Linked DNA regions of Daphnia pulex. The protein of the gene in region 1 purifies or fractionates together with the protein of each later gene. This does not show direct contact. Links are inferred from orthologs where the notes say so. Each region holds a gene or a part of one and is shown on either strand. Other genes may lie near its edges.

The links. The genes of interacting proteins can lie anywhere in the genome.
Region 2: the proteins of cytoplasmic FMR1-interacting protein-like (region 1) and uncharacterized protein LOC124196242 purify together in Drosophila melanogaster (affinity purification with mass spectrometry; 3 studies listed by BioGRID, with this or other methods). This does not show direct contact. The link is inferred for Daphnia pulex from reciprocal best matches to the Drosophila melanogaster genes Cyfip and SCAR.

The regions. Positions count from the first base shown.
Region 1 is NC_060025.1:3,988,886-3,992,641, reverse strand, and holds the start of cytoplasmic FMR1-interacting protein-like, read right to left. Parts: upstream 2,589-3,756; 5' UTR 2,477-2,588; exon of another isoform or gene 2,396-2,476; 5' UTR 2,375-2,395; coding exon 2,165-2,374; intron 2,093-2,164; coding exon 1,913-2,092; intron 1,831-1,912; coding exon 1,649-1,830; intron 1,581-1,648; coding exon 1,452-1,580; intron 1,382-1,451; coding exon 1,174-1,381; intron 1,111-1,173; coding exon 907-1,110; intron 845-906; coding exon 725-844; intron 658-724; coding exon 586-657; intron 522-585; coding exon 307-521; intron 240-306; coding exon 109-239; intron 46-108; coding exon 1-45. UniProt on the Drosophila melanogaster protein: Plays a role in guidance and morphology of central and peripheral axons and in synaptic morphology. Also required for formation of cell membrane protrusions and for bristle development.
Region 2 is NC_060022.1:714,549-717,775, forward strand, and holds the end of uncharacterized protein LOC124196242, read right to left. Parts: coding exon 3,096-3,227; intron 2,878-3,095; coding exon 2,620-2,877; intron 2,375-2,619; coding exon 1,746-2,374; intron 1,674-1,745; coding exon 1,502-1,673; intron 1,433-1,501; coding exon 1,426-1,432; 3' UTR 651-1,425; downstream 1-650.

The DNA of each region.
Region 1 (3,756 bases):
ACTCTAGCATAGTGCGAACCATGTAAAGTTGGGTCGAAGAAGGTCCTGTAAAATAAAGGCAGAATGTCCGTAAAGAAGAAGCGTCTTTTGTTTGATTTTTTGACATACCAACATTTCGTCGTGGAACTTGAATATCAAACCCATTATCAGGATCTTTTTTCCCTTTAGTAGCTGGGTCGTCCTGTGGCTCAGTGCCTCTAATCCAATCCGCACAGGTTTCTCGGACTGAGACGATAATGCTAAAACAACCTCAGTTACTAACAGTCCCAGTTTACACTGCAGATCTTTCAACTCTCTGTCTCTTACCTGCGAATTAAGTCTTTCTTATTTTTGATTGCCTTTCTTAGGGGCTCACGCAAACTAAGCTGAACAAAATCTTGTAATTCAGCGTAGACATGTCGACGTATAGCGTCCGCAAATACCGTTTCCATTCTGGCCATGAGAACTTGTAATCCCTTTATCATGGCAATGATTTCAATGAGAGCAAATTTCTCCTCTTCGGTGTAATTGTATCGGGTAGCCTATCCGTAAATGGGCTTATTTAAAAACAAATTCAATTTTAAATAACATGTTAACAAGCCTTACGCGTTCATATTCTTCTGCTTCTGCGGGGCAGTCTTTATTCTGGTGATGGTCTGTAGGATGCAGGAGTTTCCACTAATTACACAAATGAATTTCTTAGTTGAAATTAATTAAAAAAAAAAAAAATAACTACAAGTCTTACAGAATAAAGTTCAGTAACTATGCTGGTCCATTCAGACAGCAGCTGTAGCCCACGAAGAGCAAGCTCCATCATTTCTTTCATCTCCTCCGGGGAGCGCGTTTCTTTATAAGTAGTTGTGACCTGTTTTACAAAAATTATTTTTAAGACCATTACGCATTATTTCCTCTATGACATTAGTTTACTTCGTTGCTATAGCGTGCCAGTTCGCTCGTAAATTTAACGTGATCTTCACGGATTTGTGGCAAATGAACCATTAAATCAGCCTGAGGTGAAGGTAGAGTTGCACCACACAAGGGCCATCGTGAAGCATCGTAGGTTTTTGACCGCTTGATATAATTAAATGGAGCAATTTGCATGTCACCAAACAGAGGGACAACCTCCAGATTCTGTAAAAATAAACAAAAGGTTTAATAATAGTCTATGAAATAAAATCAAAAGAGCCAACAAACTTTAAAAATTTTGTCGATTTTGTCGAGTCTAATTCGCTTTTTGTGATCTAGTTTGGAAATGTTTATCTGACATATTTCAGAATCCATGAGAAACAATCCAAAACCGAGAACTTTGACCAGCATATGTTTTTCTTCCGGAAGAAGGTACATGCGAGTTTCCAGCATATGAACGGCCAAGTTGATTACATCGGCAAGCAACTCCTCATAACTAAATGAAGCATTTTTAAAAATGTTATTAATTAGTCGTTATCAGTTTCATAAAAATAAAGCCGCATTACGATGGAATTTTTTCGAGAGCTTCTTTAAGTGAATCGCGAATTTTGTTTTGGGTAGCTAGAAACATCGACAGATTTTGGGATTCTTGTAACGCTTGCTGATCTGTCATCACCTTAAGGAACTGGGCAGCTCTAATAGAATACATCAATAGGTATCTTTATTTATTTTTTAATGGTGGAGAGAATAATATTTGACTTACCTGCGGTATGCAGAGTAATCGTTTTTTACACTAGACTTCATGTTTTTCAATTCATCCAGAACAGCAAACATATTAATGAATTTTCCCAGAGTGAGAAGATAAGCTTCAGAAACAAAATCTTTACGCTTTTCCGTATGGGAAAGTCGTTTCACTTCTGCACTGAAGCGCTCGATTGCTTTTCTCTGAAATTAAGTAATTCAACCTTTGTCAGTTAACTGAAAAAACATACAAACAATTTAAATTCATTGAGTATATTATACTTACTTGAAAATACATGAAATTTAACAGCTTGTTGACTTCTGGAGCCAGGACCTGAACTGTTTTTTCGTATATCTCAACTCTGTTGGGTTGTTCATTTGACTTAGGCTGCGGAATTGCTCTTGAACAGCATCTCCAAGTGTACAGCATTACAGCATGCTCTTGACCTTCTTGAAGCATATCATTCTAAAACAAAGTATTACAAAATTAATATTTGAAACACAAAGTTTAGTCATTCTCATTGTAGCTATTGCTTACCAGGCTTGCGTGAACAGTTGCCTCTTCTATGTATTTCGCAACTCCTGTTACAAAGGCAGTTCGATCTTCAAAATTGGTATCAAAGTTTGCTTGATAAATAACTGAACAAGCCTGAGCTTCGATACATGGTTGTTGATCTGGAAGTGGCAATTCATCTAGCACTTCAACGTTAGATAACGCATCGGCGAGTGTAACTTTCTCGGTAGCCATGTTGTAGCATAACCCAAGTCACTGATTGAATAGATTTTGAAATTAAGTAATAAGCAGACGTTGTTTACTTTAATGGCAATCAACCAACGCTTGTGTTATTACCCAGAAACGGATGTCATCAACAACAATGCACTGAAAAGTCAAACTCAACAAACTTGGCAGACGCCCTTATTTTTGGTCCAATCTTTTGCTTGAAATGTTTCAAAATTCTAACGCTAGATGCTTTGTGGCGTTGCAATCTTCACCAGTGACCAGTGAACGGAAACGCATGAAAACTTTTCCTGCGTTCTGAAAAACGGAACCCCCCAAGTGGTGAGGAACGGATTCGTTTCCGTTCACTGAGGTACGAAGGCGATAGCATGTGCTAAGCACAGTGCTACCCTTTATAATATGCATCTTTTCTTCTTCTCTGTTTCACCGATAGTTTTTTTTTTAATAATCATTTGATATTATTTTTCCACTTGTAAAACATTTTGGTCATAAAATGGAAAAATAAATAAATAAATAGAAAGATAAACATCAAACTGTTGTTGCTGCTATGGCATCGGGGATGGATAACCTTGGTTAGCTGAAAAGGGAAGAGTCATACCTTGAATACTAATTACTAATCGTCAACATCAATGCCGTCTATCCACATCCCATTTTTCTTTCTACTCTCTCCTTTATACGTTATAATAATAATACAATAAGTAAATTTATTTATATTTATTCATTCGACTCCTCTACTGTGCTCCTCATTCTTTTGTTTTCTTTTTTATTTTAGTGGTTTTTAGAGAACCCCATCTCACGTGTTGATTCTTCGACAGAAAGACTAACCAAATTCGTCCTCTCCTCGCACATACCAAATAATCGAAATCTGAATTCAGGGAATTAACTACAAGTTTTTTTGTTTTGTTTTTTTTTAATTCAAGTCGGATTGAGGCATCTCGGACTTTCTGCCAATTTTGCTTTCCTTCTTCCTTGATTGTTGTCTTGTTCGTGAGTGTAAATTAATTTCAACAAATAGAGGGTTGAGTAAATGGACTCTATAACCTTTCCGTCCATGATAAACCCAGCAGCTTATTTACGTATGAGAAACTAGATTCGACTACATCAATTTTATTTATTTACAATTATTTTTTGATGTAATTAAAAAAAAACGAAATAAGATAAGAGAATAAGAAGAATAGTTTTATTATTTTACAACACCAGTTCTACTATTCACACGTGCGCTAACAATTGTGATTAAGAAATATTTAAACAAGTACTTCCATATAAAAATAATCTAAAATTGTAACCATCTCCCATGACTCAAGTCACAAATGTTACAAAAACCCGACGGAAATTTTCTTATTGACCTCTTTCGCCCCCCAAAAGCCGTCGGTAAATTATTAAACGAAACG
Region 2 (3,227 bases), on another chromosome or scaffold:
ACCAATATTCCATTTTGATATTCAACACCAAAAAATCTGAGGTGCTCCCAGGCCGGGTCTAATTACGAACTTCACACAAATTACCTTAGCTGTACAGGATCTGATTTGATGAATCCGTAAAACACATGGGGCAGAGTTAAGAAAGCTATACAATATGTATGACAGGTAGCTCGTTCACCTGCTTTCACTCTTAACAACAGTCCCAGAACAACTGTTTTGTGTCACTTTTACCACTTTCTGAAGAGTTTCTCTGCAAGCAAACAGCTGATCGAACACAGCCATCTAGCGGCTAAGAGTTGCAATAAAAATGTAAAAATACCTTACGCAAGGCACGACACGGTACGAATAAAAAAGAGTTTAAACTTTAAACCAAATAAATACGTTGAAATATAATGATATTAAATAGTATTAAAAATACAATACATAAAAAAATATTTTTGGGGTTTCCTGCTACATATTTCATGAGAAAAACCCAAAAAAAAGTCTGAAATAAAATAGATAAAAACACATTTGACATTCCGAGATAATTTCCCAACATTGGTAATCGAAACAGCAGGAAGCAAAATTTCGAAACCGTGCATTGTGCCGGATTATTTTCCTTAAAGACGCCAAAATGCTAACTGATTCAAATGAGGACGAAATAACCGAAAAATGGTCTTGTAGTTTATTCCTAAATCATCACTGTTATACACTCATTTGTTGGGCGAGGTTCGCATCTAATTAGTTAAAAGTTTAGATATGAGTAAGTTGAACAGACACGAAAGGATGGGAGTCAAAACACAGTGGGGGGGGGGGGGGGTGTACAGAAGCTACATTATATGCTAATTATTAATGGGAAGAGGGCAAGATTCGATGCGAACAGGTTCAATCAGGTAAATAAAGAAGAGTGAACTTGCACATTGACAGAGAATACATGAAAAGATATGAAACGAAAGCAGAAATACACGAAAGCCCAGCTCCTGGCTGATGAATGAAGAAGAAGAAGAAGAAAAAAAAATGACGCTCAACTGTACAAATATTTGTTAAAGGGGTGTGTTGTCTTTTCTTTTTCTTTACTTTATTTTATAGAGGGAAATGGACGAGAAGGTAAGGGGGAAACAAGTGACTAACACTGCTGATAGTGTGTGTGTGTGTGTGTATTCTTCAAGGAAATGCGATTGTTTTGTGCCATTTAGGAGATTTGGAATTTATGCTGGGAGGCCACGAAGATTGGATTTAACAACGCAATCGACAACCCATCGCCTTAAGTTTGTTGTTGTGTTTTCGCAAAATTGGTGAGTCTAAATATCATCTGCTCAATGGCGTTTATTTCTGTCTCATTCATGTCTCGTGGAAAAATGCATCATTCCACTCTTCTTCTTTCCATTCAAGTCCAAATGGAGGTTAATTGCACCAGAACGGAGCACCGTGTAAGGTATACAATCATCAAGCACTTGTGTTACAAAAGATCCAAAAATTAGTTGTGAACCGATAACCCACAAGAAGATATATTTAATCATACCTGGTCTCATCATCCCAATCTGACCCAGAACCAGAGTCAGAACCTGACTCGGAATCAGAAATCTCCATAGCCACTCGACGGGCTAGAATAGAGGCGACATCGTGAAGAGCATCCATTCGACCCTTTTCACCTTGCTGTTGCTGTCCCTTCTCTACTTTACGTAACGATATACCTACAAAAAAAAAAAGAGTAAACCAGTTTTTAGTTTCGTTTTGAGTCAATAACCGACTCAAATTTAAATTACCATCTCGAATGGCCTTAAGAAGGTCACTCCGTCCATCAAGCGCTGGAACAGGAATAGGAGGTCCACGGGGGGTCAATTTGGCCGCTTGCAACAACAGAGGCGATGATTGAATCGCTTCAACCACTCCCCTTCCTGGTGATCCTTTGGGCGGCGAAGTGCTCGACAATTTGTTGATATCGCCATTAGCCACAACGTGACCATTGTCACGCGGTGGGCTGCTGAGTGGCATCGGCGGCGGCGGTGGCGGCGGTGGAGGAGCCATTCGCATGTCGGGCGGGGCGGTATCAGGAAGCGGAGGAGGCGGTGGGAGCGGCAAATCAGATTCGGAAGAGCTTTCGCGGCTCTCACGCGGTGGCATCAGCATAGCGGAAGGTGGCAGAGGTGGTGGTGGAGGAGGAGGAGGAGTGCTTGATGGAGGACCCGAGTTGACCATGACGGACGAGATGTACGGCGGATTGGGCAGTTGCGACAGCCTATCAGCGCTGGAATAGGTCTCTGACGGTGGTGGAGGTGGTGGCGGAAGCGATTCTCTACCCATAGTTCCAACAATGGACGTCTGATGGCTCATGCGATTTCTGGTCGGTGTCGACCCACTCTGCTGCGTCGTGTTGGGCGAGTGATTCATTTGCCTGCCGGATTCAACCAGACTGTTAGTTCATGATTATTCAATATTTTTCATCAAAGCGTAAACGGTACGACATTAAGAAGACGCAGCTTAATCAATTAAGCGTAGCAAAGCAAAGCTCGACAGACAATATGAACAAATGATGAGACGACAAATTCGTGATGTAACGAGATCAATAAAGTGACACTGGAGTAATAATGAGTGAGTTATCTACAGTATCTCTTCTATTGGGTTATTTGGTTAGTTTACCCGGGTGGGGCTGGTGGAGGCTGCGTGGGCCTTCCTGATGTGGTCCGTTGCAACGTCCGGTTGTGGTGATTCATCATTCCAGGGCCATAGTGACTGGATGCTGCGGCAGCTGCGTGCTGGTGATATTGTGCCTGATGATGCAGTTGCTGCTGCTGCTGCTGCTGAAGCTGCAGCAGCGAATCGGCAGTGTAAGGCGGAGGCGGATACTGCGGGTAGCCGTCGTCGTAAGGCGGAGGCGGCAGAGAAATTCCGGCAGGTCTGTAAAAAGCGTCGGACGCCAGCGACAGATGGAGACAAGCCATGAAGCGACAACATTTTTAAAATGTGAAATTCCAAGCACACGATAGAGGCAAAGAGACCGATGACAATTGTTGGGAACAAATAAAATTGACGCCAACACCCTCTCACACGTTGACAACATCAATTTCATTTGACAGACAGCCAACAAAAGTAAAAAAACGTGTGATTTAACCGACCTGTACACATTGTCTTGCGGATTACGCGAGTTCCTGGATGCGTAGATGGCCTCTTCGCTAGGGTAATTACGTTTCACTTCAATGCTGTTAGGGCGCGGGGGCCGTGATGTTGAACTGGGATCCGGTAACATG